Linked DNA regions of Schizosaccharomyces pombe. The protein of the gene in region 4 purifies or fractionates together with the protein of the main gene of each other region. This does not show direct contact. Each region holds a gene or a part of one and is shown on either strand. Other genes may lie near its edges.

Region 1 (9,057 bases), 1.1 Mb from region 4:
GTAAGAGCCAATCTTCCAACGTGAATAAGGAAGTTGCAATTAGCGAAGTGTCCGCAACCTTGGAAAATGTGGAAGTCATAGAACGACATGGGATTTCAGAACAGGGACAGAATCTGGACGAATCTGCTTGTGTACTTACTAATGAAAGTAGTTTGAGCCAAACTGAAATACCAGAGGAAAAAACCGAGAATGAAACAACTGCAGTTAACGGATTTGAAAATTCCAAGAAACGACAATTTTCGAGCTTACTTTCAGGGTCCATTGATACAAACAATGAATCCAACAAAGTTTCATCTGTAGAGTTTGATAAATCTGGTCCTCAAGACATTATACAATCAATGACGGAAGCCACTTTTGAAATCGAAAAGAATATACAAGATTTAAAATCGGAGGAAGTTCAGAAGCTTAGTGATTTGTTGATGAGATTACAGAGAGCTATTTTATCTAGAATTGCTTGATTATTCAACTCATGGGTACAGGAATTACGGACCGGCATTGGGGTCAATTTAGTCATAAATCAATCTTATTAATGGGGTTCATACTGGCATTTAATATATAACATATGTATATAGATAAGAACTTTCTAGTTTCAAGAGGATAGAGGTATGCGTATATGTGATGTGTCCAAATATCTTATATCATCAAACCAATGATGTTGTAACGTCTCTTCAATAGTAATGCGATCATGCACATTTCTATCAAGCATTCGACAAATTAAATCGACATTATCTTTCGATAGTTCAAAAGGAATTCTAAGTTTGGCGTCCAAAATCTCTTCGATCTAATAATTAGTTAGCATACCATTATAATAATTCTCTTACGTTATAATAAGGGTTTTCCCGATAAACTATCGTGTATAATAAAATACCCAAAGCCCAAATATCCTGTTCTTTACCGAGATATTTTTCACCTCTTAGTAGCTCCGGAGCAGCAAAACCAACTGTACCCCGAAATGTATCAAAAGGCCCGTTTTTCGTAAGGCTCGAACTACCGAAATCAATGAGTCTTGCACATCCGTTTCCTTCTAGAATTACGTTTTCATCTTTGATGTCTCGGTGGATTATGTCAAAAGAATGCAGATGGGCAACAGCTAATGCGATTTGGAAAAATATAGCCTTGCTCTCTTTCTCAGAAATCGATGGTTTTAATTCGATGTAATCAAACAAATCTATTCCAGGCTTTTGGGGCTCAGTTAACAAATAGTAGTTTTCATTGTCTTCAAAAAAAGTTATCATTTTTACGATGTTAGGGTGGGAATGAGCTTTCAAAAAATGAAGTATACTGATCTCCATAGGTACGGTTCCAAGATCTTTATCTCGCATCCATGAATCCAAAAGTATCCTACTTTTACTAATTGATTTCAAAATAACTTCATGAACCTTGTTAGATTTATAAGTTGCAAGTTTTACTTGACCATAAGCGCCTATTCCTAATTCCTTGATAGTTGTATAGCTTGCGATGTTGTGTGGTACAACCTCCCATTCCGAATCAACGTAATCTTCGTCTGCCGAAAGGTCTTCTTCTTCTTCACTCTCGTCAGAAATAACGACTTCTTCTAAGATCACAGAGGAGCGCATTGATCTTACGAAATCAGACGCACGATTATCCACTGAATCAAATATAAGCCATACTCCAAAAGCGGGCTCATTAGACTTAACAGAATGAGGTGAAACAGAAATAATCTGGCAATCAATTTGTATTATATTTCCATCCGAATGGATTAAATATGGATAGTCCGCTTTTTTCATTTTATCAGCTGTACAAGTACGATAAGCATGTCGAACGTGTATTTCGGAAACAACTCTACCAGGATCAAGTGCGTGACTATCCGCTAATTGCTGCAGAACCAATTTAAAATCCGGGAATATAAGGGATATATCTTTAGTTAAGAGGTCACTATAACCAAGCATTGATTCGAATAATGCCTCGTTTAAGGAAATGATTTTAAAATCAGAGTTTATAAATAGCAAGCCCGCTGCATAATGAAAAATAATATATTGAAATGAAGATTTGGAAAGGGGGTATATCATACTGGGACAATAGTAGCCTTCAGTCGTTTTTGTAGTTAGGTACAGACGCTGATCCCAGGTTTTTGGTAGTCTCGAAGGAAGAAGATCAGACGTTAAAGGCTGTTCAGTTCGTTCGTCGACGGCAACACCATCTTGTAACTTGATATCAATGTATGATTCTTCAACAAATTCCAAAATCCAAATTAATTTACCCTGTTTTTCTTTTACCCAAAAATCCATAAGGCGGACACCATCAACAGTAATAACAGGAAACACATCACCACAAAACAAGATTCTTTCATGTTCATTGTCTATTGGGAAAGAAACAATTAAATTAGAGAGATGTGAAGAAAATGATTTTGGAAAAATGTCAAAAACGCTATGCCGATTCAGCTGAGAACCGGCATATCCAAAAAGTAAACAGAAATAGTCATTGGCAGACCAAATACTGAATGTTGTGTTGCTGGTAGTGACAATAGCTTGAGAGGAGCAATGAACTGGCCAATTGCTGTGTTCTTTATGAGGAATAGGAACATACGATATATCGCTCAAAGACCTACGTTTTTCGGGATTAATGGTGAAAGGAGATCGATTTAGGCCGTCTCCCAAAGCTTCGGTGCTAATATAGTAGTTCCCGACAAGAGGTTCATTGGCATGCTGTAAATCATAGTCTGTCACAGATTCCCACAAATTTGCCCGCGAACTAGTATCTAAAGGGATATAACCGTCATTTGCATCTCTTGACAGAACCGGACTATAAGAAAACGAGTAAGGAGAACTACTAGAGAAAGTCAAAAGCTTAACTCGAGCAGCGTTACTTAATAAGTTCTTATTTTCCTTTTTAGGTAGAAACGATGCTAACGGTCTCTCAAAACTAGCTCCAAAAGATCTAAATCCATTAGCAAAAAGATTAAAAATATAAAAAAATAAATAATATTTTCACTCCCAATTTTAAATTTAAAAATTGGTAATCTTAAAACACACCTAGCTCGTGTACGTTGAACCTGCTTGCTGGTCAAATGTTTAAAGACGTCTGTTAAATTAAAGGTTAGTGCTGTTTTTGGACACAAAAAGACAAACCTTGAGACATCTAAAAATCAATTCCGTACACTATCCAGAAATAATTTCAGGAGGATAGGGTTCTGCTTGAGCTACTCAATTTCTTCTGCAAAATTTGTAGATTTCAGAAACACTTCTCTTCAGACGAAATCGCAAGCAAAATAAAGATTTTAGATAACATAGAAATCAAAAAGCATCAAAACCAATTGTAAATTGTAAGTTTCAACACGTCTATAAAAATGTTGGCAATGTGCTGGGTTGTCTATGTTGGTGAACTAAGTAGTATGACAACTTAAGGAAGCCAAACATTAAGGTTGAAGGGCTTAAAAAATCAATTTAATTGACTTGAATTTTTAAGGGAAAATTGATTTCTATTTAGCAATCAGTTCGATAGTCAAGAGGAAGGAGTTTTTGAAAACACCTAACTTGCATGATACCTGGCTAAATAGTGATGAAGGCTACTTGCGGTTGAGGAATTAGGCTTACTTTGGTGGCAGAGATTACGCTACAAACATTCATGAATAAAGTATAAAAACATAGATTTATATTCTAAATATTATAGAGTGGAAGAGGTTAAAATTTTATTGATTATGACAGATGTAACTCAATCAATGGTTGTTTAATAACGTTTGTACTGACGGGGCTTAAAAATAATATATGAATACCGATTCTACTGAAATAAACAAAGCAAATACAGAGGTGAATTGAAATTTACGAACGAGAACGAATATTTCGATGATCAAAGAATTTCTTTAACTTAACAAATATTCAAAGCGTTCAGTGTTCAAACAAAAACAAAAGAAAGAAATAACTTGTAAGGTTTATTTGTAATGGGAAACCTCTGCATATAAGAAAAGTGAGCATGAAATCTAGCAAATTTCAAGACGGTATTTACTTTACGAAAAAATCTTAGAGGGCGCCAAGTTCCTTTAATGTCTTAACCATTTCATCAACACTCTTTACCATTATGTTTTGTCTCTTTTGAACAGGCTCGGAGACTGAAACAGTCTGTAGTCTTTGATCAATTGTTACGCCTAGATCTTCGGGAGACATTTTGCCTAAAGGAGCCTTCCTTGCCTTCATAACTTTTGCCAAATTCGCGAATCTAGGAACATTAAGACGTAAATCGGTGGTAATAATGGCTGGAAGTGTACTACTTAAGGTTTCTTCACCGCCGTCAATTTCTCTTGTAACGATAACTTTGTCACCTTCAATACGGACTTTACTTGCGCTAGTGAATTGAGGCCATCCAAGCATAGCAGCCAGCATACCACCTGTTTGGTGTGCATCATCATCAATAGCTTGCTTGCCCAGCAAAACCAGATTACTTTTTTCCTTCTCGACTGTTGCCTTCAAAAGTTTGGCTACTGAAAGAGGTTCAAGTTCTTTTTCGCCAACATTTATAAGTGCTGCTCGGCCAATTCCTTTAGCAAGACACTGGCGAAGAATGGGCTCAGAAGAAGTTTGTCCTGCGGTCACTACTAAAGTGTCCTCAATTCTATTTTTCAAAGTTTCCTTCATCCTTATAGCCTCTTCTACAGCAATATCACAAAATGGATTAATCTTTTCACGATTAGTCAAATATAAATTGCGAATTACAGCAGTACTGAAATGATTACTCTCCTTTCAACATACACTCATTTTTTGCCCCGATAAATCAACAGCAGTCTTAGTGGCATTGATGCGAGGCTTTAACATATAGTCTAGAGTTCGCTTGACTCCTACTAAAATGCGAATTTTCGACATTTTTGCGATATTGCTATGCGGTGGTCAAAGACTGGAATTGAAGAAGGTAGAAAGTTGAATATGAAACCTTCATACATATTCCATATTATTTATTAATGTTGTTAATTTTATACTTTTTAAAAAAAATAGTTTTTATTATTTAAATATTGCACAATTTCCGAGTTTAACTAGTTAGGAAGTTTTTTAATTTTAAGTAAGAGGAAATAATGTCTATCAAAATTTACATATTCCAAACAATTCCAACTTCAAGAGAAATCATGATTGCTAAAAAAAAGTAAAATTTGCTTTAACTATCAGATTGCTATATGCAATCTCACACTTCAAAAAAGTACAAAATAATTCTAGTTTTTTTGAGTGCAATCTTTTCAAATTTAAAAAATTTTCTTACTTTTCTCACGTAAGGAAATTCACTTAGTTGATTCGTTTATAAGCGATGAGTGCAACATTTTCTAAAGTCGTTTCTTCACCAACGTAGTATACGAGAGAAGATTCATAACCCATTTTTTCGCATTCTAATTTTCTCATGTAATTGATAATATGCTTGCACTTCAACCCAATTTTTACGCGTTCCTCATGAGAAAGACCACTGATGTGTGAGTCGGCTCCTCCAGAAGCATGCATATGCTCACGCAAACTGTTTACAGCCCACCCAGTCATCTGTCGTAATATTTGAAACTCTTGTGGATTTGAAATTCCCCAATGACTTAATTGTTCTCTAGCAAAGGTTGAAAGTGTTCTCCATCGGCAATGATGATGACAACAAAGGGCAATTACAAGAGCATTAGGAGGGGAGGACTTTAAGCAATTCAAGGTAAGGTCTGTGGCAGCACCACATAAATGCTTAGAATATGCAAATACAGGTTTACCACTATTCCGAAATTCACTAGCAAAAAAATCGAGTTTCAAATCCTTAATATCAATTTTACACCTTATAATTTTTGGCTCAGGCCAGTTATTTTTGATGCTATCTTTTAATATCCTGCTATCATGCTTCGTTCGATTTGAATCACGATCAATAAGTATATATACGTTTTCTTGTTGGGAGCAGTGCTGAACATATCTTGATAACTCGGCTCTTCCAGCACCGAATTCGTAATATATAGATCCTTGGTTGTCAAAATAATGTAGTTTTTCCATATGTCCTAACAATGATGCCTAAAATGGTTAATGCTTTTGACTGCCGTTAAGAAATCATGTCGAACATACCTGCTGAATTGCATGCTTTTTTTTTGTACCCTCTTCACTGTTAAAAATGAAGTTAGTTTCTACTTTTGCAACCATCTTCTTAATAAAAAGCTAATGAGAAAGCACTTCGTACATACAGTCTTGCATTCATTGCCGGGTGAAACAACACCTTTTTTTGAGGAGTCGGTAAAGAATCACTAATTCTGTTGAACAAACAAATCCATTTTGACAACTCTTCCTTGCTTAAATCGACGATTTCAAAGGAGGAAGATTCTGAAGCATCTGTTGAAGTAGAGATATTTATGTCCTTCTTGTAATATGGATCGGTCCTTTCAACAGGACGCGCGTTACAACGCTTCAAATGATATTCTAAACGATGTCGCACAATTGTATGCTTGTGATCATATGGACAGGGGATTTGTTTTAATTCTTCCTGAGTAAAAATTTTTTTTATTCGTGCCATCAAGTTAGATAACTTTTTAACTCTTAAGTGATATTAGCCTGAATATTGATCACAAAAGTAAATCTTAAAATACAATAATTTTATTTTTCTTGTAAAATTTGGTCTTTTTCAGTCCTTCGGATAATTTACAACACTAATGAAAAATAGCTTTCCGATTCGGCAGTTCAGACACTTCAAAATAAAGTATTTTCGCGTTTTTCTCTTTATTACAGTTGTTTCCAACCCAGTCCCAAACTTTCTACTACTTTTATAGTTTTCTGTACCAGATGTGCGATTTTACGAAGAAATCTGATGTTTCCAACCATTGGCGTGCTCATAAAAAAAATTCAAATACGGAATCATGAAACATTTATATAAATTGATCATGCGTTCTAAAAAAGTAGTTTAAGCTTGACCTTGAAGAACGCAACTACTTTTTAAAAACCTCTGTTTTATACAACATTCCGGGAAAAGACAATATCCTAAGTATCACTTCCTTAAATATACCAAAGCAAAGAAATAATTAATTACAAAAGAGCAAACTGTGTTGACATTTGTGAAAAAAGTGTATATGACATATACACCGATTTTGAAATATTGATATATTGATTTTACTCTGAATTTCTTATCAGTAGCTTAACTATTTAATTCTGAGTAAAAAATAGGAGTCTAAGTAAAGTTCTTTTGATTTCAAACCCTTCTTTGTAGGAATCGTCGACATTCGTCCTTCTCAGAGCCATATTCTATCCCTAAGGGTATTAAGGAGTCAAATAGACGATAACCGCCAGTATCAGTACTGATATCGTCAAATAGTCATGAGTTCTATCCTTGGTAAAAGGAAAAATGAAGAAGTCGTATCTTTTAGCCCTTTGAAACGAATTTCTGTTGAGAAATCGCTTTTGGATAGCACTGCCTATAATAATTCATTGGATTGGCTCAGATCTAAAAATTTCAAGGTCTCGTGTCTACTTAAACATTTTAATTCTAAAATTATCAACGGTACGAAGCTTTTATTTCTTCACTGTGCGCATTACTAGGTAACTAACATCTCTATTCAATTTAGACCATCCTTTAAGTGGATCATGCTACACAGACATCGGTTATGCATTAATTAATTCCCGAAAAGCTTGCTTTATTTTGTCGTATCGTCAAAGCTTGGGAACAGCAGAACCTCCAACTATAACATTTCCGCTACCTGAAGAGGACTCAAATGGCTTTTCCGGGCAAAATGCCTTGACAGCCTTCGTCCCTTCTGATGCTTCTGACAAAGAACCTGGATTGCTGATTGTAATGCCTATCTCTGGTCGTATAGCATATTGGACTTCAATTGGGAATGCTCTCGCTCAATCTTATATATGTCCCCAGGGAATGGAAAGTTTGATAAAGTTACTCCCCAAAGAAAAATGTGAGCATTTATGTTGCTCAAACCCCATGAAGTTCATCATATCTACCAATTTTGGTCGTCTTTTTTCTGTTCAACTGCGCGATCCTGCAGGTCAACCTGACGTTTCTGTACAATTATTTGCTTCCGATATTAGTACTTTTTCTACTATTCTTCAGAAAATGAAGATTTTTAACTACCCTAGCATTCATATCATTGCTTTAAAATCCCCACCACTGTTCTCTCCATACCAACATCTTTTGTATGTCGCTGAGGCATCTGGTTTACTAGAGATATATGATTTGAAGTTGGAAAATAAGCTTGTTTCTGGTATGAATCTGTCTCCTATTTTTAAGCAGGTTTTGAGAGAAGGATGCCCCGATGCAAGCGGACTTGAGGTGTTAGACCTTACTATATGCCCCACAAACGGAAATCTAGTGAGTTTTTTAGTATGTTGGAAAAATTCTATTAATTACCGTTACATGATTATTTCTCTTGATTTTTCTGACATTTCCTCACCCTCGGTAATGAATATTCATCCATTGTATTCATTTTCTTCTAAATCTCTTGAGTCTTCAAAGCTACATTATTCATCATCAGGGAATTCTTTATTTGTGGTTTTAACAGACGCTGTTATTATAGTGCACGTCCAAGAGGATGATAAAGATATTGTATCGAGAACATCATGGGAAGAGGTTATTCGTATGAATACTAATGTCTCTGGCGGCATATTTATGTCTACTTGCTACAAATACGTTTTAGGAAAATACTCTATTCCTACGGAATCATGTTTTATAGCAACCCCTTATTCTGGTATCGCTGAAATAGAAGTTCATAGTTTGGAGCATCCTGCAAATAACGAATCTCTCGTAAAAAGCAAGTTGGAAGAAGCTGTTTTTTACTCCTTCCTTCCTGGTAATCCGATCGATTTTTCCTGCAATTACCTTCGCTCCATCAAAAAGCCTGAACTCGAAAGGATTATTGTCGATCTTGGAATGGACATCTTGAATTCAAGGTCTACTCATTTACCCCCATTATTTGCTTCTTTAATGCAGCATCTGTCCTGTAGGTTAAATTCTTTGAATAATCTTGTCCGGTATATTAGGTCTATGTCACTGGATGTTGATCGTCAAGTACTATACAAGTTGAGAGTAATGGGCGAAAAATGCAATTCTGTTAGATATTTATGGAATACTATCGATACTGAATTTAGTACTGTTAGTCATTCCCTAATT
Region 2 (7,097 bases), on a different chromosome or scaffold from region 4:
CTCGTTCCTTACCGGCTTCATACGTTTTCTTTTCAATTAGTTTTTTGTATGTGGCACCTTTAAGTAACGACTGGAGTTCCCATAGTTGAATGGATTTCTTTGGATTCATATTTTTGTGGGAGGCAAAACAGCTAGTTTGAACAAATCCGTTTAAAAACAAGAAAAATTGCGAAAAAATATTAATATGAAATAAAATGCTTAAAAGTCAAAGGATTTCGACAATCGTTGTTAATGAGTAATTGGAGCGCAAGACCAGAGGTTTAACGATTTTGATATTCAACCAATATATTCAATTTCTCTGCCTACACAATCCCGACCTAAATATTCTGTATTATTTGATAAATATTTATTCTTCTTATGCAAAAGCATTTTCATTTTCTGGCCAATATCTGCTAAATTTTGTGTTATATTTATCAACATGACACAACCTGACATTGAAATAGTTATCAAGGAGGATTTTACCTATAGGGAGTGTTCAGATGTTGCGAACGATGTGTTTAAAAAAACTCAATGGCTCTTGTACGTTTTCCTTTTCATAATTTTTGCCAATTGTGTTGTTGATGTTAAGTATTATTTTGAGGGATTTAGTCATTCATTATTATTCGTCTATTTTTTCTTGACTTTAATAATTCTTCTTGTAAGTTTTATGGGATTTCATTATTTGAATAGTATTCCTAAGCCGGAAGCTGAACCTGACTATCGAAAGAAGCAAGAGTCAAAGAATCAGGATTTCCTTAAAAGTCAATCTAATGAACCTTTAGAGTACGCCTCATCCTCTGCAGTTGAACTAGAAAAAGAAAAAAATACGCGAGAGGGCTTAACAATTCTTGAATCTAGTTAATTTTGTATCCATTTGGCATTTGCATCGACCTTGTTTTTGTTTTGTGTTATGTTTATAGGTTTATTATTTATATTCTTCCTTGGTGTGACAATTTTTTTTCTTTAAAACAAAAGAAATTAAAGAATTTGTATTTTATTTATTTTTCCATTTTGAACTACCATATTGAATGTATTCTCAAATTATTAGTATACAGGTGTAATGTCACTCATTTGAATGTAATCAGAAGAAAAGTTATTCTCTTGTTCAAGATCCCTTTGAAACTCCTCAACTTCTCCTCGTCGAATCTCAATTTGAGCTTTCGAGAATTATAGAATAGCAAGCTAACAACTGAGAATGAAATCTACTGTTAAATCTGACACATCTACTTTCACGGTTTTAAGAGACTTAAAGCCATCAGACATAATTGCTATCATAATGAGTAAGCGGAAATCCACGTAGCATAGTCCAGGAAGAAATCCAAACCATAAATAGTTTTCGTGATGTCCCTTTGAAATTTCATCTGATTTTTTCTCAATCAGTTTTTCGTACGCAGTACCTCAATGCAGCGACTGGAATTCGTACAGTTTAATGGATTCACTTGGACTCATCATATATGATACAAGCAAAATAGCCACGTCAACAAAGTTCTTCTAATGTCTGAAAATCAATTCAGTTATCAGATTGAAATATTGCTATCAATTCAAGTCGAATAATAGGAAAATCTTTCTCTGTGGTTGATGATTTAAATATTTAAACCAGACCAGGGGTTTCACAATTTAGTTAAGAGTTACATTTACGGACTTTTCTTTCCACAAACCTCACTTTTTACTGTTTTATTTTTTGAATTTTGCTGGACATTTTTTTAAATAGCTTCCATTTCTTGCTAAACTTGTTTAAGTATTCATTTGTATTCGTTTTAATTGATAGAGGCATTGAACGTTGAGTCGAAATGAAGGAGTTAATCTATAAACCGCGTTCACAATTTTTGCCAATATTTTTACTTGGTCTTTGAACGTTCTATTTTTCTTGTTTCTTGTGACACGTGCCGTTCACATTGCATTTTAACTAAGAAACATGGCCACAGTATGGCCGTTCTAAAGATGATGCTCCTAAGATTGATCAAAAGTAAAGAACATTGTTATACTATGGTTATCTCTTTTGCAGTGTTATCCATCCACTATGCTTGTGAATGCTTTTTGTATCCTAAATTGTTTGATTCTCAGCGCTCTCCTTCACCTTTTTTACGTTGGTTGTTTTCAGTTCTAGGTGTTTTAATGTCTATGGATGTGTTTTGTATTTTATACGCCTATCCAAGTGTTTATTTACACTATGTAAGCGAAGAACCTAAAAAAAAATTAGAGAATCCAGTCTCAGCAATTAAAATCGAAATGAAATTTCATGAAGTCATACTTTCTTCCTATAAATGGATGTAAATAATTTTTCGTAAAGGAAGTATATTCATCGTAAATCTTAATTTTCTATTTCGCTTGTCATTCGATGTCGATTTTGTTTTCCCTACGAGTCAAATGTCAATCTCAACTAGATGGTTTAAGAATTAAACACCCTCTAATTCCTCCCTTCCTTTTCTTGATGTTGAAATTTCTTTCTCATTACTACAATTCATAAACTCCTATCAACTAGAGAGAATTGCGGTTGATAAGTTTTTCAAAGGTTAGCAAAACGGTATATGCATAAAGTCCCATATACAATTCAAATATAAAAAATTAATTGTTCTTTTCATCGTTGATTTCGTTCCAAATTTGCTCGATAGTCTTCCACTTCACCTCGTCGAATCTCAACGTTGAGCTTGCGAGAACTGAAGTAAAGTATGACTATAATACACACTAAAGCTATGCTGTTTATGATAGCATCGGCTACAGCAGGCAGTTCACAGTACGTATTTTTGTTGAAGAGACTTATAAAGAATATGATCATTCGACTTATAACAAAAGAGAAAATAAATAAAGTAATAATAATTGGTAAAATACCATCATTACTCCGATATTTAATAGCTTCATATGTTTTTTTATTAATTAACTCTTCATATGCTTCGTCCTGAAGCAGCGACTGGAATTCTTGCAACTCGATGGATTCCTTTGGGCTCATATCTTTCGTCTAACAAAACGCAGTTAATTGAACACTTTTAAATCACGAAATTTGAAAATATAAGAAAAATGGATTTTTCAGTAGCTGAAAACTTAATTTAATTGAATTTCATTATTTGTGGTTAATAGATTGTGCACGCAGTAGTTAGCAGGGGTTTGAAGAGAAGTTAGCCTTTTCAATCTCACTGTTCGGGAAAGGCATTTCATTTTCCTATGTCTATTGTTGACTCAAGATTGGTAAATGTTTACAATTAAGAATAAAGTTTAATTTCCAATAGCTGAATTTGCATCTTTCTTTCTCTTTCGTTTCGATATGGCGTCCTTGGACATTCATTTATATGTGAAGAAGGATTTAACCTACGGAGAGTGTGTAAGGGTCGCAAAAGAAAAGTATAAGATAATTCACCGGCTTCTATATATTTCTATTATTTTCCTTTTCCTCAATTACGTTGTCGACATTGTGTGTTATGTAAAAAATTACAATGGTTTTTCTTTTTTTTGTTGGGTTTTTTTGAATCTTGGCGTTATAGGTATAATAATAACGGTGATTATCTATTATATTTCTATTCCTAAACCAGATGCTGAGTCTGAGTTTTTAAACAAACCAGACTCATTGAACCAGAACGTTGGTGAAAGTCAATCTAATGAACCTCCAAAGTACACTTCAACCTTTATGGATGAGCTTGATAAACAGGATTAAAGGAGTACAAAAATGGTTAGTCAATTGATCTGAAGCGCAATGATCAACCTTTGGTAAAGCCAAATCCTTTTACTGTTGAAGTTTATCGCTAAATTTTTGCTAGACTTAACAAACTTCAATTCTTCGTACCTTTTTACTAATATATTTAATTCATTTTAAAAATAATTCAAACACTTTTGTTTAACGGAATCAACGGCATCGTCAGCTGGTTGTATCGGTAGTGTCAAATAGTTTTCCTATGTTTGTAATGAAATTTTTTGTTTTTTAATTCTGTACTTCTGTAACAATTGTAATTGTTCTATGGCTATTTTTTTCCCGTATAATAATCTGAAATTTTTGCCAGAATATATTCTCAATATTTTGGAATTTTTTTACTATTTTACAATCCAACAAACTCGAATTTTACGATAAATGCTTTTCTAAGAGCCATGCAAAAATTTTATTATAATGTTTTAATATTTTTTGATATAATATAAAAATAATAAACTGCAATGGCTATTTATTGACTGATATTAGTATTATAATTTTCATACAACTATAAAAATACATTGGCAAAAAAGAAAAAATATTGAAAAATCCTAAATAGATACGATGAAATCGATTTCTAACAAAAATTAAAATTAAAATAAAAAACTAAGAAAAAAAAAAAAAATCAAACAGTTACATAAGAACCTAGCTATTTTTTTCCAAACTCCTTCCTATTTATTGTATTCTTTTCAAACATATAAAGAGACGTACAGCAATCACTATCCATAAATAACGATAAAAGCAGCATTATGGGTAAATGAATTTGTGAAATTCACCAACTTGCCAAAAATTGCTTACATATTCTCGTTAACTGGCTTTACCGGTTCCGGGTACAATTCATTAACCAATCGGTTGGACGTAATGACTAAATAGCCCATAAGAAATATAGACAGAAAAAAAGGGAAAATAAACGTGAAAATTACCAAATCTAAGCATTCTCAATTTATGAAATGCTTGGTCTTTTAGTTGGAATTGTGCTGTACTGGTGCGACCGAGCTTCGAAATCGGCGAAGGAAAAAACTCAAAAGAAGCAAACGTCTACCGTTTCACGAAAGAAGAGTAAAAAAACTGCATCGAAAAAAAATTCTGGAAATTCAAAAGCATTAATTGTAAAAAAAAATTAAGTACTATTCTTTTGCATGTACTGCTCGATTCAATGTTTAATGACACTCCTTTCATCAATCTGTTCATCTCCACTCTACAATCTATTTATTCATTTGATACATACTCTCATATAGGATTTTGAAAAATATACTCATTACTATACAATATTATAATTAAGGGAGAATAAAAAAGAAATAAAAAAAACCAAAGGAGCCAGTTCAAGTAGGAATTACTTGTGCAAAAGCCCTTCAAGTACTAGTAAAAGTAACTAGTAGAGAATGACTTGGCTGCATCTAAAACATCCTTAAAGTTCAGGCATAACGAAAACAATAACAGCAAAGAAAAAGAAAGACGCAAAAAGTTCAAAAGGAAAAAGAACCAAACATGGTTTAGAAGCGAGAAACAACCAAAAAAAGTATTGCGGGGTTGTAAAAAAAGAAAGGTCCTTTACAACTTTTCAATGTCTTTCCCTTCATCCTCTTTCAAAATGTTTTACTTGACGACTGACTTTACAGCTCCTGACTAGGCTTTCCAGTGCGACCAGAAGTTTTGGGCAAAAGATGGGCGTTGATGTTGGGAACAACACCACCTTGAGCAATGGTAACGTGACCAAGAAGTTTGTTCAACTCTTCATCGTTACGGATGGCGAGTTGAAGATGACGGGGAATGATACGAGTCTTCTTGTTGTCACGAGCAGCGTTTCCAGCCAATTCGAGAATTTCAGCAGCCAAATATTCCAAAACGGCGGCCAAGTAAACGGGAGCACCAGCACCAACACGTTGAGCATAGTTACCCTTACGTAACAAACGATGGACACGACCAACGGGGAAAGCCAAACCGGCCTTGGCAGAACGGGATTGAGCAGATTTGGCAACAGCAGCCTTACCACCAGATTTACCTCCAGACATGACGAAAAATACTGAAACTAAATAAAAAAAATAAAAGTTTGAGTTAAAAAAAAAAGATTTTTCCTTCTTTAATGAAAAAAGATAACAGTCAACGATGAAGCAGCGAATGGATCAAATTTGGTGAAATTAACAGAATTTTCTCGCAATTTCAGCCTTTACGGACAATCAATCTCCTTATCAACTAAGGATCAATTGTTTATATCAATTTCAATACGTGTATGGATCAAAAGGTATCCTAAACAACGAAAAGTCGCGATATAGGGAAAAGGAGACATAGGAGCGCGCACCCTTCATATATATACTAATTCTAATCTTCCGTATAAGCACGTCTAACGCGTTCTTGTAGATGACGTTTCCGCGTCGCATGGCTAAACACCAGGGTTAGGGTTGTGATGCCCAAGTTGTATATAACCATCGCGTCGCCTGCAGGCATGTTAGTTAATACCAACAACTTGATATTGCACGAAAGTTTAGGATTATCAAATTCCTACAATTGCAATTACTTAGTTCAGTCCATCAATTTTGAGATTCTCTCGACAACCAATTTTTAAATCGTAAAAAATGTCTGCTGCTGAAAAGAAACCCGCTTCCAAGGCTCCCGCCGGTAAGGCTCCTAGGGATACCATGAAGTCTGCTGATAAGAAGCGTGGTAAAAACAGAAAGGAAACTTATTCATCCTATATTTACAAGGTGTTGAAGCAAGTTCACCCTGATACTGGTATTTCCAACCAAGCCATGCGTATCTTGAACTCTTTCGTCAACGATATTTTTGAGCGTATTGCCACTGAGGCTTCCAAGCTTGCTGCTTACAACAAGAAGTCCACTATTTCTTCCCGTGAAATCCAGACTGCTGTTCGTTTGATTCTTCCCGGTGAGTTAGCCAAGCACGCCGTTACCGAAGGTACCAAATCCGTCACCAAGTATTCTTCTTCTGCTCAGTAAGCGAATCGCACGATTGTGCAATCGTCTTTTAGTCAGCTGATGAGTTTCCACAGCCTTCCATTTCGACAATGACAACCTCACGAAACAAAAGGGGGTAGGTTATTTGCTCTTTTGGAAATATATATTTTCCTCCTCCCTTTTTTAACGTTTTCGTTCCCTCCTCTTTTCCATTTCCGCCTTTTGTATCGCATTCCTATTTTATTCCCCGTACAATGACGACAACAACAACACAGGTGCAGCACATCACGCGATAGTTTTTTTTACATTACACATGGTTCTTCATTTCTATGACCGGTTCGTGGAGTTGAAAGGTGTTTTGTTTTGCACAAGTCGTACTGGATCAAATTGGGTTTTGTGTTCGATTCGACGGGGACGAGATGCTTTTTCTTCCCTTGGTTAATCTTCTTCCCTTGTGCATTTTATAGCTATCACCACTGGTTGGAGAGTTGAGTTTCTTTTTTTTCGACTGTTTGTTCCTTTCCGCCATGTAT
Region 3 (8,598 bases), 3.5 Mb from region 4:
GTTCTGTTTCTACTTCATTCTGCTTTAATATTTCTTTCCCGATGCCTCTTTTTCAGAAAATTAGTTCTTAGATGCTCTTCTCATTTGAAAATCTCAACCTTTTTCCATGTCCTTTTGTAAAAAAAAAACACTGCCAATTTTTAGTAAATTTGTATCATCATTGATTTTGTATGAATGATCCTGTTCGTTTTATTATTTACTAAATGAGAGTTTTTACTTTACGCTGCTTATACTAAAATTTTATGTAACTTCTAAATTATTAACATTGGTGATACTAAAAGCAACTTTGATAGGAATTGCTTTAATGAAATCATTCCTTCTGCATAAATTAAAGTTTGCTTAGATAAATTTTTATGACTCGAAATATTTAGTAATGTATATGTAAAATAGCATTGTTGTAAACTTTCTGAAACAAGCTATTTAGTGGTGTGCAGTGGACTCACGCTAACTTCTGAGTGGATACAATTTGCAACGCTCGCAACGACCATAAATCTTTTTGGGTGGTAAAACAGAAAAATAACGGGAGTCGTATTTGTCTTCGCATATACTTATAGTATTTAATAAATCATGAGTTCTCCAGGAATAAGTGATGAATCTATAAAAGGACCTAAGGACGTTCGTCTGATTCATCTAATACTTAGCTCTCTGGGTGTTCCATCATACTCTCAAACAGTGCCTTTGCAGTTGTTAACATTTGCACATAGATATACACAGCAGTTAATCCAGGATTCACAGGTTTATGCGGAACATTCACGTGGGCAAAATGCTCCAATTTCTGTAGAAGATGTACGTTTAGCTGTTGCTTCTCAAATCAATCACTCCTTCACTGGACCTCCACCAAAAGAATTTTTACTAGAGCTTGCTATGGAGAGAAATCGAAAACCTTTACCCCAAATTCAGCCGTCTTATGGGTTTCGTCTTCCACCGGAGAAGTACTGTTTAACTCAACCCAACTGGATTGTCAGTAATGAAACCCAACAGAATCAACCAAAGGAAGAGAACTCCTCGGATTCACGAATGGAGGAGGATAAACTTGACTTCTCTGTGAAGTCTGAATAAATTTATTTTCCTTTTAAAGTTGTTACTAATGCCGGGGAAGTGCTGATGATTTAGATATATGTAAATATTTTTGAAGCGCTCACGAATCTTTGCAGCAGATGATTATGGTTTTATTTATATGATTTTGTTCCTCCAGAACTTCCTATTTAACTTGCGAAAGCAGGGCGTGGGTAATAAATCGTTTACAGTTATAAGGTACCTGTTTATTTGTTTATTTGCTACGAAATCAGTGTATGGAGCAAAAAAGTATACAACATTTTTAAATTCAGCTCATATTGTACATTACTGTACACTGTATCTTTTATATATGGTACGACATAGAATAGAAAAAAGTGAAAGAGACGGCAACAACATCAGTGACGGCGCGCTTTTTCTTAAAATGTTACAAAAACTGGAGTAATTCATGTAAGGCTGTGAAATTGGCATGAGCTCGTCGAGAGCTTTCTTCAACTACTAGGCTCATTTAAAATTTACACCGCACCAATGTTTCTTTATTACTTACAATTGCCTCTCATCATAACTTTGAAAATACAATTTACCACAATACTAGTGATAACATAATATCATGCATTTTAATTTTCTTTATATGACCTATACAGATCCCCTAAAAAGAATATAGTAGGGATACTCGCACGACAGCTAAAAATATATAAGTTATATAATAATTTTGAATCAGAAGGAAGGCAACGGAAATATCCACACATTTTTTGCGCTCTCGGACATATATTTCATCCGCGTTATTTTCATCATTTTCAAAATCATTTATCTCTCACATACTTCAACCATTTCAAAGCTCACCACAAACCTGTATAGGAAATATAAAGAAACTTGATGCTTTACGTAAACACAATTCAGAACTTACAAAAACACAAAAGTGAAAACTTGGTATTTAAGTCGAAAGTCATACCATTCGTAAAAAGAGTGAAATTATAATGTGTAATAAACACAAGGTAAAACATTATGTTCATTAAACAAAATCAGGAGTTTGATTGTACAATTAGCAACCATATGAGAATAGCCGAATGAAAAGTTTCAAAACAATAAGTATCCATTAACAGAAGTATGACCCATTAACTAGTTTTGAAACTAAAGAATTTTACGAAGGTCAACAACATAATGCAAAATTAAAGCCAATTTCTCTGAATGGATTTAAATCATCATAATCATAAGCTTTTAATAAATTGTAAAAATTTAAAAAACCACGTCGGCATTTTTTTGATACCTTACATCATACCGGGCATTCCACCCATGCCACCCATTCCGGGAGGACCAGCAGGGGCCTTGGACTCTTCAGGAGCATCGACGATGGCACATTCGGTGGTACCCATTAATGAGGCGACTCCACTAGCATCAACTAAACCGGTACGTACGACCTTTAGGGGATCCAAAACACCAATTTCATTTAAATCAACAAAACGATCCTTAGCAATATCATAACCGATGTTAAATTCCTTGCCATAAAGCTCCTTAAGTTTACCAACAATCAAGTTACCCTCTAATCCAGCATTTTCAAGAATGGTTTGAGCGGGACGAGTGATAGCTTTGCGAACAATTTCGACGCCAAGCTTTTGATCAAAGTTATTTGTAGGAATGTCTCCTAAGCGAAGACTAGCCTTAACAAAAGAGGTACCAGCACCTGGGAGAACACCCTCGGAAACAGCAGCCTTAACAGCATTCAATGCATCAACAATACGGTCTTTCTTCTCGTTGACTTCAACTTCACTGGAGCCTCCAACCTTAATAACAGCAATACCACCGCTCAATTTGGCCAATCTCTCTTGAAGCTTTTCTTTTTCGTATTCAGTGAGATTAGGGTCGGCCATGACACCACGAATCTGTTCACAACGGTCGTTAACTTTAACATGGTCACCAGCACCTTTCATAATGATAGTGTCTTCCTTGGTGACAGTTACAGAGCCACAGCTACCCAAATGATGGGGTTGAGCCTTTTCGATGGAAACATCAATTTCATCATTGAACACGGCACTATCAGTCAAGACGGCTAAATCTCCAAGCATATTACGACGGTTGTCACCAAAGCCAGGGGCTTTAATAGCAACAACTTGTAATTGCCCACGAAGCTTGTTTAAGATACAAGCAGCCAAAGCTTCACCATCAACGTCCTCTGCGATGATAACTAAGGGACGACGCTGCTGAGCGGCAAGCTCCAAAGAGGGAAGAATGTCTTGGACAGCAGACACTTTCTTTTCAGAAAGAAGAATAAGAGGATTTTCAAATTCAACCTTTTGTGATTTGACATCGGTAATAAAGTAAGGAGAAATGTAACCACGATCAAACTTCATACCCTCAGTAACCTCTAATTCGTCGCTTATTGTGCGCCCTTCTTTGACGGTGATAACGCCTTCTTTACCAACACGTTCCATGGCTTTAGCAAGAAGCTCACCGATATGAGTGTCACCGTTAGCAGAGATGGTAGCGACTTGGGAAATCTCTTCAGAAGTAGTAATATCACGCTTATTGGCTTGCAAAAATTCGACGACGTTATCAACAGCAAGTTGAATTCCCCGGCGAAGGTCCATAGGGTTGCAACCGGCAGCCACGTTACGAACAGTCTCAGAAAAGATGGCACGAGTTAAAACAGTAGCAGTAGTGGTACCATCACCAGCAACTTCATTAGTCTTGCTTGCAACATCCTGAACTAGTCTTGCACCAAGGTTTTCGAATTTATCTTTCAAACTTACACTACGGGCGACAGTTACACCGTCCTTAGTGATTTTAGGGGAACCAAAAGGTTGGTCAATCAAGACATTACGGCCCTTTGGTCCCAAAGTTACAGATACGGCACGAGCAAGAGTATCGACACCGGTGAGTAAAGATGCGCGAGCATCAACACCAAATTTTAAGTCTTTAGCATATGTACGAACTTGAGGGACGGCAAATCTGCCGGGGATTCGACGACCAGCAATTCTTAAAGGTAGACGAGATACACTGGAAGAAAGGAAGCTCACCATTATGTTTAATTAATGAAATAAAATGAAGTTGTAAAAAATGGTTTTTTTTAATGCACCCAAAAAGAGATATAAAGAAATGTAAAGTTATCTAACGCAAATACAACCCACACGTTAGGAATATAACCAGCTAGCTGTCCCTGCAAAAATAAATGCTTGCAGCTTTTAGATATATTATTGGTTTTAAAATACGTGAAATACTCTTCACTATTTTCCGCTTAATGAAATTCCAAACAAGGCTAGGCAGACGATAAGTTAGCTATAATAGACATTATATATACTGTGACTGCCTGATATTCTAGAAAGAACTTTGATGGGATAAAGATTGACATGCCGGCAAATAGCCAATAGAAAAGCGACCAAATTTTAAGAATAGGTTTGGTAGCTTCTTGAAGAAAAATATCGAAAAATAGTGTATTGCATTGTTTATCGCTAAACGGCTTCTAAAAAATTAAAACATATAGAGCAAGAACGGGGAGCGTTTTCATTTAGTCGATTTACAGTCATTAAAACCTCTAAAAAAAATGCGGTGCTCGACTATGGTCAATGTGCCGTTTCTTCGTGATTATTCAAATAAGAAAGATCAACTCAATTTATCAAATTAAAAAGTCGTAAATGTTCTATACTTATTTAAAAAGTAATACTAAACGATACAGCAGATACGAGATACGTTTAGACAAAATCATCAAGTATCCACTAAAAACAGTGCGAAAAAAAATAATAATAACAAAAAAAAAATAGTGCAATCATATCTTGACGAAAAAAATCATACAAATGACAACCGAACTCTCATAATCGAAATTGAATTCTTTAACACATTATCAAATCAATAACACGGAAAAGAATTTAGGCACAATTAGCCAAACAGCCATTAAAATGAAGCCATCATTCGTAATAGTTAAAAACCGAGTGACACTAACGTGAACAAGCTGGGTCCGTACAAAACATATGAGATATAGAAATTGAAAAGGTATTGATAGTAACGAAAGGTCCTACACATAAGAACAAAACACAATCAAAACAACAAATTATTGCAAATAACACCATTAACATCCCACGTAAGATCGGTTATCGTAAATTTTATTTGAGACTTTTGCTGTATAGCTCAAGCATCGTATCCCAGTATACGAATCGTCAAACCGGATTTGCGATACAAAAGTTTAAAAAAATCTCACAAAAGAAAATTCCATTTTATTCCTCTCAAAATAATCATAAACGTGACTTTGAAGAGAGAAAAATATCATCTATTAAATTAAATCCTTTTCGTTTTACAAGAATCACATTATAGTTTAAAAGCATGAGCCCGATCACATGCACATCCGAAGTGAGTATGTAAACGATATAAGCATGAAAATCATGTCCTCAATTGAACACTAGGTCGTAAAAATGGATAATTCATTGAGATAATTTCACTCGTCGTTTTTATGTACAAAGTATAAATTTGCTTGAAAGCGCTTATTATCGTAAGGTAAATGAAACTTAATAAAACCCGAGACATAGCCAAAACAAGATTAATCAAAAGCAGGGAAAAACAAAAAATCCAAGACTAATTCTTTGTAAAAGTTCTGGATCCAATAGCACCGGTGTTTGATGGAGTAAGGCTTGCAAAATAATCGTTCATCGCACTACCGTTTAAAGTATTTGATGAATTAGTCGCATTGCGATCCAGTGGAGAGGAAACATTTAAATTAGCAAAAGGAGTAGCAAGTTCTAACGGAGTAGCTGGCATACTACGTATGTCGGAAAAGGCTTTAGAATCATTTAGTCCTCTGAGAGAACGTATGCTATCCGCAAGATGCATAGAGGGAGCGGGTCGTCTAAGACTTGAAAAATTACTAGAAAGACCACCGGACGAGAAAAGACCATTGTCAAATAAACCAGAGGAGCTCAAGTGATTTGCAAGACTTGGTTGGCTCAAATTGGAAGCACCTAAAGAAGAAGGATTTAAAGTACTGGCGTTTGGGGCCATCAAAGGAGAGTGGTTAGCACTCGAATTATTAGCGGGAGTAAAATGAGTACTAGGCATGGTAATAACCACTTGCTTAGCTTCACCGTCACCAGTAACTGAATGATTGAGATTGAGACGGGAAGCTAATAAGGCAGCAACCCGACGTTCTTCCTGGGTGGTTGAAGAATCAAATACAAGATCATTAGTGTTATCGCTGCGATAATAAAATAACAAGATATGAGAATATACATTGAGTATAGCTGGATCATTCAAATCAAAATCAATGCCAGCACCTATATTGGCAACAGAAAACGGAGATTTCAATTGATTTTTTCGTTCTTCTACAGCGCGTTTCTCTTGTTTACCACGCTCAACACGTTCACGCTCCGCAGGCGGTAGTTGACGCTTCCATTCAACACGAAGACGACGACCAGTAATTTCATAGCCATTCAAAACTTGCACAACCGTTTTGGCTTCCTCTGGAGAATGGAAATTAGCAAAGGCAAGGCCCCTAAAAACTCCGTTATCAAAATGATAATTAAAAGCGTATGGACGTGGGATGTCTAATGCAGTGAACACTTTAAACAACACTTCTTTCTTCAAGGAGAATGGAATATTTTTAATAACAATCGCGGTAGGAATGGTCTCTTCATCAGGTTCAGGGGGTGCCGTCAAAGTTACAGAGTTGCTCATACCTCTAGACAGAGCAGTGCTAGAAGCTGAGTTTGGTACATGTGAATGGGATGGTTCGTTGAATGCATTTAAACTATCAAAAGGGTATGTTGTTGAGGAAAGTAATGAGGTAGTAGCAGGTCCAGAATTTTTGAGTACATCTAAAGCACTTGCAGACCGGAGAGAAAGGCCTGCTGAATTAGTTGCTTCTTTCCAAGCAGTTTGAAGACGAGTTCGACGAGGCTTTGCAGATGGATTATTGGCAGTTGAAATTTCAGGATCCAGCATTTGTTTAAGGGAACTTGGTAAAACCGTAGAAGAACCATCACCCAAACCATCATCTGCATTGTTGTGGGAAAATATGCCAGACCCTCCCATTCCAGCACTGTTAACGGCTGCATCAGAAAACGTAAACTTATCACGACCATATCGGTTCTCGAGATATCCTGATCCTCCAGGAATATTAAGACCTCTCATTTCTTCATCTTGAGCTCCATTTAATTCATCTAATTTGGGGAAAAAGTTGGACCGTTTTCTACGCAGAGATGCAGCCTCAGAATGGAAAGTTAAAGGGGAAGAAGCAGGAGAAAGAGTATTAGTTGACAAAAATGCCTGCGACAAAGGCGTTAATGGCCTTTGGCTTGTGCCCTCAGCCATATCGACACTAAACAAGTCGTAACTTCGTGTGGTGCGGAGGTTAGGTATCCGTGGACACCACCAAGGGCGCAAAGTCAATATACTACACCATATTATTGAGGTCTTAAACCCATAAATTCAAATATACCAATCTATAGAAGCAAATGTAAAAATAATTATTATAAAATGTATATACTACATACTGGTGTTGATTTTTAAACCCCCACTAGGTAACTTTTTGCCAGGCAAATAACAGGGTACTGTGATGATAAAACCGAAAGTCCATCTAAGAGCTCTTAAAAACACTGCTGCAATGATAAAGACTATTAAACTGTCTAATAATTCGACCACCTAAAACAGAACAAAATGAAAGTCCTAATTTTTTGTTTTTACTTAAATTCTTGTAAATTTATATTTTTATTAATTTGATATTCCATGAAATATCATTCGAATTTTAGCATATTAGATTATAGAATGAAATATGTGAAAAATATCTTCAGTGAACCTTAGGATCCAAAAGCTTCTCTCCCACAAGTTCTATTTTTGGTACCCTAGCAAATCCCATTGCAATATGACATAGAAAAAATTTAAATAAACTTGCATAAAAAGAATACCTTGCTCGATAACTCATATGGAAACTTCACAACCTTTATTAAAAAGAATGAATCATATTATTACAGTTTCGTCTATTTAATCCCTTTATTTCCAAAACCTCAATCCAAGTTTTCATTTATCTTTGCAAAAATTCATCTTCCAAATCACCACCAGTTGAACTTTTTTCCTGTACAGGAACCCTGTTGGAACCTGAAGATGGTATTTTGTGTTTTCTGCCACTATTAAAGCGTTCTTCCATCTCGGCCCAAATGCGATTTCGAGTTTCTTCGGTCTGTTCAGATGTGCCTTCTGCGTAGAGTGAAACATACTTTGTTAAAGGGGGGTATTCCTAAATAGGTTAGTATCTTAGCCAAGTTGATAGTTGAAATGAAGTCGAAAATACAAACATACTTTAATATACATAAGATCAATTTGACATTTACGCATCGATTTCTCACACTGCTTGCGTTTCTCATCATCCATAGTTTCATCCTTCAAAGATTTTTCCAATTGTTTAATACGTCGTTCTGCTTTTTTACGTTCTGAGAAAATCAGTAAGCAAGTTCACTGAACAAAAAATGCTGTTTTTATATATGTTTCATACCAAAAAATCGAACTTTTTTGTATCTTTCAAAAATCTTTTGCTTTTTATGCTCTAACTGTGCCATAGACAACTGCTCTTGTAGACCCAAAAGAGCTCGTTCATGTTCAACACGAATG
Region 4 (8,098 bases):
TCTGACAATTAGTTGTAAAAAAATCTATAAATAGACATATAGGAAGTAACCTATGATTGTTGATATTCAAGCTCTTGGTAAGTCTCAGAATTTAACATAGGCATGGAATACTGAGAACAAAGGAGATGTTAGTCTTTAATGACCCACGTTTGGTGCCGTTAAAATTAGAGAAAAGGCGAACTCTCAAGGATTTTTTTTTTTAGTATACATTTAGAAGAATTATATTTATCATAGTGTTTTATTTCTTATGATTATTATTTTATATGCTTAATCAAATCTCAATGTTTGATCAACAATGCCATGAGCATAATAATAATTTAATTTCGAGGGGTTAATAAAAGTTGAAACAAACGTAAGCAAATTTGTCAAGGATATAATGTCATTTATAAGTTGTATACACAGTAAAAAGTAGAATCAAAAAGGCCTCTTGAATTAGCGCTTCTTTTGATTTTATTTATTTACACTAATTTCGCTGAGCTGTCAAGGTTGAACAAAAGTAAAACTCAGTTAACAAAAAGTGAAATTTGAATAAATGAGTTAAATCAAATAGGCCTTGAAATATCTTTTTGCGGGCAAAGACTGAGTAGGCTGGGAATGAAGGAAATAAGGAGTATGACTTTAAGAACCAACTAGCATTATTCGGTTGAATTAAACAAATCCTTATTATAAATAAAAAGTAACAATAATAGAAACTGAATAATTTCTGATTTAATGGACAAAACTAGATAGACAATAGAAATTCTGATTTACAGAGATTTAATGAAAGTCAATAAATATCAAAGCATTGCAGAAAATTGATTTACCGTTATCCTACACAGTTCCGTACAGTCAAAACTTGTCTTAATGGTAATCCTTATTTCGAGCGAAAAATATTGATTTTCTTTTTCTCTTTGTCTTTCGGTATTTTGGAGTTTTGATTCTTAAGTGTTCAACGCCTTTAAAAGGCTCAATCATTTGTGATTTATATTATATCGATTAATTACAGCAGCTACTCCAAATACTGAGTCTGAACTTGCACACCAAAGATATTAGAAACAGTTTTTTTTAGTTAAAAGTCAATTTTTTCCATGTTACGTTGGTCATCAACGTATACGTTCGGGCTATTATGGCTCATCATCGGTAGCGAAGCATTTCATCTGAATGCTCTGAAGCAAGATCATTTGGAGCGTATGAAACAATACGATGCAAAAATTCGGCTAGCGAAACATGAATTTGATGATACAAGTAATGAAACAAAGTAAAACTTTATATTTATAATTGGATTCACTAATTAGCCTGCCAAATTAAGTAAGAAACGTCTGTTTCTTTAAATGGTATTGAGAATGTCTTCTTGAGCAACCTCAGTTAAGGAGTCCAGCATCTTAATCGTTTCTGGGTTGGTCAATTTCTGTAGTTGATAATGCTTTAAGACAATCTCCGCAAACGTTCTTGTTGTCTTTTTGGTTGAATAATCACGGAATGCTTTTTCGTATAATACTTTGGCATTTTTATACAACACAAGTTTGGAGTTTTGAGCTACCATGATGGGGATAGCTGCACGTTGAATCTCTAAGTCAGCTCTAGAAATGAGTATTCTTACATGATTAGGATTGTAAGTGTTAGCCATCTTTAAACTTTTGGCAGCTACTCCTAACATATTCCAGGCTCTAGTCATTATTTCAATAGATGCGCTTTCTTCTGTAGATACGCAGGAATCTAGTAGCGTCTCTGCAAAGTCTATGTATGCATCGGCTTTGTCGCACAGCAATTGAATATGCAAAGGTTTAACAGACGAGTTCGGATCCAACGGGTTTTGCAAGTTTAGCTGTGGTAATTGGCTAAGTTGATGGTCAAAAACTTGCAGTAAATCAATCCATGCCACCTCATTTTCTTTACCACCAAGTACTAAACGTTTGGTTTTCGCCAAGTACCAGTCCATTAGCTTTAATATATCGAGTTTTTCCGTAATCGGTAGCATTATCTGACAGAGTTTCTCAAAATCTGATTCTTCAAGTAACTTGCAACTGCATGCTAAAGAAGCAATTTCGGTAACTAATGTCGATGCCTCTTTGTCTGCTTCTATAAAGTATAATCGTCGAGCCTGTATGTCAGGTATTTCTTCATATTTTTGTTGCGACGATGTTTGTATAGTATTTTCCCATTCAATTCTTTCTCGTTCTTGTAAATCAATGCTATGTGAAATGGATTGCAGTGCTTGCTGGATTTCAGGATATGCCAAATCTTCGCGATCAAGATCCACCCAAATCTCAGCCAAATTAAGATGAACCTGCGCAAGGTTGAACCAAATATCTGGGGCCTCTTGTAATAATAAGGCGTGCTTATGCATCTCAATACTTTTCTGGAGGCATACTTGTGAATCTTTGTATAGCATATCGCAGTTTGTAGCCATATTGAGTAGCAATCTTGCTTTATTAAAACGAGCATCAAAATCATTCGGACATTGTAATAAATATCTATCATATGTTTCAAGGGATTTTTGATAAAATCTTAAACACTATTGCTTGTTAGTTTTAATTTCACGTGCTCAAGTATTGAGAACTCGGCGCAAAAAAGCGTAAATTCTATTTGTTTCTCAAAACTAATATTACAATTCGTATGAATGATCATGTTCAAACGTTTTTGAAATTCACCATTATAGCTTTGTACATACCTTTGCAGGTTCCAATCGCCAGCGATCCCCACTTTCTTCTAGATCAATAGCTATTTCAAAGAGTTCATCTACAGTCGGGTTTTTCTTAGGTTTGGCTTTTTTCGTCTTTAGTCCTTTTAGCACTTGATTTCTAGAGAAACTCATATCTGATATTCCAAAAAATGTATGCAAATGCTTAAAACAAAATAAAATAAAAAAGTTATGTATGAGAAATAAAATGCAATATATTGTAATCAGTAAAAATAAAAGATTGTGACAGTCAACATTAATTGGTAATGGACAATTGAGGTTGCACTAATTTGACATGTCTTTGCATTTTCCTCTACTACCTTGAAACGTGAAAATACGATCACTTTCGTTTTACATTCAACATTCCTTAAATATTTGGAAACATTGTAGTTACTTTTTAGTATTTTTCAATATTGTTAAAAACGGGAGGTGCACCTACCAAAAGTTCAAACTTTTTTATTACCAATTAACTGTGGTAAAAATTCGCTTGTCTTTCATTTAAACTTACACCTTCTATAATATCTATACATTACAAATAGAAGAGGAAATTTTGACTCATCAAAAATCCCAAGAATATACTATAAACTATGACCAAGAATATTCAAGTACTTTTTGTATGCTTGGGAAACATTTGCAGAAGTCCAATGGCTGAGGCAGTTTTTCGAAATGAAGTAGAAAAGGCTGGACTCGAGGCACGTTTTGACACCATTGATAGCTGTGGCACTGGTGCATGGCATGTAGGAAATCGACCTGATCCACGAACTCTCGAAGTACTTAAAAAGAATGGCATTCATACCAAACATTTGGCAAGGAAACTTTCAACGTCTGATTTTAAAAACTTTGACTACATTTTTGCAATGGATTCGTCAAATTTGCGAAACATTAATCGTGTTAAACCTCAAGGTAGCCGTGCTAAAGTCATGCTTTTTGGAGAATATGCTAGTCCAGGAGTTTCAAAAATCGTTGATGACCCTTATTATGGAGGAAGCGATGGTTTTGGAGATTGCTATATCCAATTAGTAGATTTTTCTCAAAATTTCCTCAAATCCATTGCTTAGTTTAAGTTTGAATAGAAAATGTACAGCTTTTAAAGGTATTAAGTTCGCCCAAAAATCCAACGATAGAAATGCTTCTAGAATTTAAAATATTGATTTTTAGTTGCGTACGTTTTGACTGGCCTATTTTACAAAAACTGTATCAAAAAATAAAAACAATTGAATAAAGTCGTACAACCTTTCTTTACGTAAGTCTTTCTAGCTATATACCCTAGAAAGAAATACATAGTACACATAAATTAATGAAAATATAAAAGAAAGAATATTAAATAGCATGGAGAACACGGACCCAACATTCCTGGCTGAATCATTTTTTAAAGTAGGCATGATTACTTGCATAAGTAGCAAACTCAAAAAAAGAATTAACTTTCGAAAGAATCAATAATAGGGCTTAACGGGGATGTGCTGCAGTAGTTCCGATTATAATAAACTAAGCCTGAGCTGGATTCTAAAGGGCTAGAGCCATGTTCAACACGCTCAACGTTCGCAACGAAAAGAATGTGATCTTGTACTTGATAAGAATGAATTATTGAACAGTGCAAGAGCCCTAAGCTATCAACAAGACATGGAAGACCTTCTTTACTGAGACTGACATCGATTGGATGAAGGGGATGCAGAAGAGAATGTGAAGATGTTTGCTGTGTACGATTGCTTCCTGGAAGATCCTCTACAGAAGTAGAGTTTTTCTCTGAATTCATTAAAGGATTGATTTGATGTTTTTGTTTGGCAAGTAAGGAAGCCCATTCGGAATGCTTCTTTATTGAACTAGACAGAAGATGAACGATTACTCGATTGGATTGTTGGATGGCGTTTGCTGTACGAGAGGGAATTTTTATATTGAATGAAATTACTGGATTTGGCGTCAGAGAAACTGGCGTAAAGGATGAGGCCGTCATGCCAGCACGATGACCATCAGCAAAACCACTCGTGATGATGACAACTGGTTGTGCGAACCTACGCATTAAAAGGCGAAAAGCATTAACGTTATCATGGGAAGCGGTAGAATAGCGGTTGAAATTTGAAAAAGGCAAATGTCGAAGTATGTAGCAGGGCAATGATGAGGAAGAAGTAAAACAATGAGTAAATCGGATTGACATCAAAATATGTAAACAATTATTAAGTATATAATATTATTTGACTTAAGCACGGAAAAAAGGCAAACGACCAGAAAGCGGTAGTATAGTCATGAACTCCTTTAGTGTTGGTAATAAAATCGACCAACTGTGGACAGCGAATATAAAAGTGACTCGTGCTACTCAAATTGAGGAAATAAAACCCCTTTATTTGATTATTCAATACAACCTTTCAAACTTTTATGTTCAATAAAGATATAAAGAAAGTTGGACGAGGTTGTAGGACAGTGGTGTACTTTGTGATACTGTTTACCATTCCATTTTCATTGGGAAATTATACTCGTGCATAGAAGCTAATGTGAAACTTGAAAAAATAAACATTTAAGGGAAACATGAGAGAAGGATTCAAATTTCTATTCTTTTACCGAAAAATTGTTGTTTACAAGATAGATGCAAATCAATCAGCGAATCTGATGAGTAGTGGTAGAGAAATGAATTAATTATAGGAAAACGAAAAAATTTAATTTTAAAGCCTGATTCATCTATTCATTGACTATCAAAATATGTAGCAACAGAATAACTAAAGATACTGACCCAAAGAAAAAAAAAGTCTGCATCTATGTAAAAGTTAGAACGTTGAACCAGCGTATATGTATACTTGAGTAAAAAATTTAAAAAAATAAGAAATAAAATAAATGTAAAAATTAAAACAAATAAACCAACGTAACGTGGACAGTTGGAATTTGTAATTAGTATAACATGGAAATTTCATTTTAAAAAAAAAGAATATTAAAAAAAATATATATATATATTGTATGAATTACTTGAAGTATTGATAATTAAATTTATTTCATATTAGATTTGAATGAAAATTATCGTTTATCTTATTTACATTTTTTTTGATTGATGTTTTTTTGTGGGCAAATTGCCATTTCTATTTTTTCCACGCATGTAGTCGTTTTTCCAATAATATTTCCTTTTTCTCATACCATGCACCTTGAAAGTTTGTCTTGTTTTCATTATTATAAGGCGCATTTCCAAAGGCACAATATACGCATTCGTATGGAGTGATTCAAGATGGCGCACTTTTTGCCATGAATTGGTTCGCACATACAAATTAGAAAAACGGTAGACTTTATTATTACCAGAAAAAATAGACCGACTTTTCCAATGAATGAAAATGAAAAGATGATTGGATCGCCCCATTTCTTCATTTTTTTTTTTTAATTACATTAGGAATGCAATGAATAAAATTGATTAACGATTGTATGAAGTGTAGCTTATTTGTTCAGATAGGGTTGTCGCACAGCAACATTGAGGATATAATGAATCATGAGGAGATGGAAATGACCCAGAGATCCACTTAAAGTAGAGCGTTCTTTTTTTTTTTCTTCGCTTTATGGAATACAAAGTCTCGTATACATCAAGAAGGCGATTATTGTGGCATATGTGGATATTATAATAGTATAGCAGATAAATTTGTTATATTATGCAATAAAGTATTAGAATTAAAGATACCATATGAAGGAAAAGGAATGAGCTGAGGTATAACAAAGACAGAAAGACTATAAGCGTGTAGAAGACGTTATGGAAGTGAGATGCGAGCAATAGCACTCTGTGGTAAGTTTGCGATTCAAATTGAAACAAGAAAAAAAGCAATCATTACTTGAAATGTGTCGCTTTCAACGCGGCCGATGGAGATAATAGGTAAAGGGATAAAAAAGAAAGAGTATTGTGTGATTCATAACTAGCATAAACATAAAAGAAAATAAGCAAAAAGAAAGTTTGATGAAGATAAAGATGAAAAGCTAAAAAAATTGCAATAACTGATATCAACGAACAAAAAGGTAAACATAGAAACGAATATGTAACAAAACCTACAAAATAATGAACAACTCTTCCAAAATCAACATCTCAACCTACAGTAACACTACTGAACTTAGAATCGTATTCTTTTCAGCAAACCCATCATTCCCATTTTCCCATTACAGCCCATCATCCATTATATATTATTTACCCTTTTTTTTTTTAACCTTTACAAGTCAACAGCTACTTTACAAAAGACGGTCATTCTCGCTAAATCCACTTTGTATGAACAAGTGTATCCAGCGACATTCCTGCCGTAACAGTTGAGTAGTGCACTATACCAGACAGCACTAAAAATTTGAGTCCATGTTACCTAATAAAGCAAGTGACACAAAAGTCGTGATTGTGTCCGGTATGAGTGCCTTTTATAGATAAGCCAAATTCCGAACGGGAATTCAATGGAACCGAAAGAGCTGTAGCGCAATATCGCTTAATCTCGTTAAGAAGGCAGAAGTGAAGGATTTACCTATGCTTGGGTATTAGAAGAGAATGAAAAAAATTTGAGATTTGCCTTCCATCCGGTACACTGGAGGGTTGAGAAGTGCAGTACGGTTCAGTTAAGCGATATAGAAATGAGTGTACTCCAAATCGTTATTCGAAATCAATTTTGTTTAAGGTAGATTGGATATTGGAATGCACATGGCATGGACTCAAGAAAATCCGATGGAGGGCAGTGAAACAGGCAAAAGGTTAATTAAAGGAGATATAGATATAGCTTGAGTAGTAAGAGCATGCAATTTGGAGAAGAAGAAATGAGAGAGAAAACGTATGTCAAACAGCAAAAAGGCAGTAGATGAATGAATGGATGGATGAATTACCATACAATGTTTTTACTCTGACGTTCCTTTCCGTTTAGCATGCAACCTTGCGGAGATGGAAAAAGACGAGTAGATGAAGAAGAATAAGAGGCGATGAGATTTGGTTTGATGACTTGGGAGTGTGACGAAAAGTGCGAATGCCGATTAATGGCTGGAAATTGACAAGTCAGGTGGAGGCAGAATAATGATGATGATGGATGAGGTGGTTGGGTATTGAAAACAAGGTAAGCAAGCGTAAGCCAGCGGCAATGGGGTAAAGTTGGAGAAAAATGCAAAGAATGATGTTGGAAATTGGAGTCGGGCGGGAAGAATGGGATGAGGTGGATGGATGATGGATGAGATGGAATAGGATGAGAGGAGATGGGATTACGTTGGGGGGTCAAACCTTTTTTTTTTTTTTTAATTTTTATTGTACTTTTTTTTTTTTTTGTGCAAACGTAAATGGAAAATGAGCGACGGTGTTTATGACATTGAACGCATGTATACTACGTCTTTTGTTTACATGGCAAGGGAAGAAGGAAAAGGAAAAGGAAACTAACACCAACAAAGGCAGATGGATGGCATAGCGGCAGAATGATTATTTCGTGGCCTTGATGCTGGAGCTAGCGGATGAAAGTGGATTTCCGA

What was found.
Region 1: the proteins of coq12 (region 4) and ppk6 purify together in Schizosaccharomyces pombe (affinity purification with mass spectrometry, with the first as the bait; one study listed by BioGRID). This does not show direct contact.
Region 2: the proteins of coq12 (region 4) and SPOM_SPCC622.06C purify together in Schizosaccharomyces pombe (affinity purification with mass spectrometry, with the first as the bait; one study listed by BioGRID). This does not show direct contact.
Region 3: the proteins of coq12 (region 4) and mcp60 purify together in Schizosaccharomyces pombe (affinity purification with mass spectrometry, with the first as the bait; one study listed by BioGRID). This does not show direct contact.

What each region holds. Positions count from the first base shown.
Region 1 is NC_003424.3:2,770,115-2,779,171, forward strand, and holds ppk6 (serine/threonine protein kinase Ppk6), read right to left. Parts: upstream 3,324-9,057; 5' UTR 3,100-3,323; coding exon 3,090-3,099; exon of another isoform or gene 3,043-3,089; coding exon 2,994-3,042; exon of another isoform or gene 2,899-2,993; coding exon 822-2,898; intron 782-821; coding exon 590-781; 3' UTR 501-589; downstream 1-500. Other genes in the region: telomere length regulator Rif1, read left to right, coding at 1-458; etf2 (electron transfer flavoprotein alpha subunit), read right to left, coding at 3,978-4,631, 4,704-4,814; tRNA 2'-O-methyltransferase Trm13, read right to left, coding at 5,226-5,969, 6,021-6,057, 6,137-6,462; nucleoporin, WD repeat Nup132, read left to right, coding at 7,257-7,440, 7,505-9,057.
Region 2 is NC_003421.2:1,406,259-1,413,355, forward strand, and holds SPOM_SPCC622.06C (uncharacterized protein), read right to left. Parts: upstream 3,073-7,097; 5' UTR 2,927-3,072; coding exon 2,558-2,926; 3' UTR 1,830-2,557; downstream 1-1,829. Other genes in the region: SPOM_SPCC622.03C (uncharacterized protein), read right to left, coding at 1-109; SPOM_SPCC622.04 (uncharacterized protein), read left to right, coding at 419-841; SPOM_SPCC622.07 (uncharacterized protein), read left to right, coding at 3,239-3,625; hta1 (histone H2A alpha), read right to left, coding at 5,266-5,664; histone H2B Htb1, read left to right, coding at 6,226-6,606.
Region 3 is NC_003424.3:337,825-346,422, forward strand, and holds mcp60 (protein Mcp60), read right to left. Parts: upstream 4,274-8,598; 5' UTR 4,032-4,273; coding exon 2,283-4,031; 3' UTR 1,942-2,282; downstream 1-1,941. Other genes in the region: SAGA complex/transcription factor TFIID complex subunit Taf9, read left to right, coding at 568-1,059; RNA-binding protein Cip2, read right to left, coding at 5,575-7,305; efg1 (rRNA-processing protein), read right to left, coding at 8,015-8,227, 8,290-8,420, 8,483-8,598. UniProt on the Schizosaccharomyces pombe protein: May participate in assembly and/or disassembly of proteins imported into the mitochondrion. HSP60 are ATPases and have affinity for unfolded proteins.
Region 4 is NC_003424.3:3,879,240-3,887,337, reverse strand, and holds coq12 (NADH-dependent flavin oxidoreductase), read right to left. Parts: upstream 4,924-8,098; 5' UTR 4,812-4,923; coding exon 4,077-4,811; 3' UTR 3,718-4,076; coding exon of another isoform or gene 3,247-3,717; 3' UTR 3,082-3,246; downstream 1-3,081. Other genes in the region: protein Ina22, read left to right, coding at 1,068-1,241; SPOM_SPAC926.02 (uncharacterized protein), read right to left, coding at 1,307-2,494, 2,651-2,794; protein tyrosine phosphatase Stp1, read left to right, coding at 3,247-3,717; SPOM_SPAC1071.13 (uncharacterized protein), read right to left, coding at 5,676-5,993. UniProt on the Schizosaccharomyces pombe protein: NADH-dependent flavin reductase that acts in the coenzyme Q biosynthetic pathway. Required for synthesis of the p-hydroxybenzoic acid (PHB) precursor to form a quinone backbone.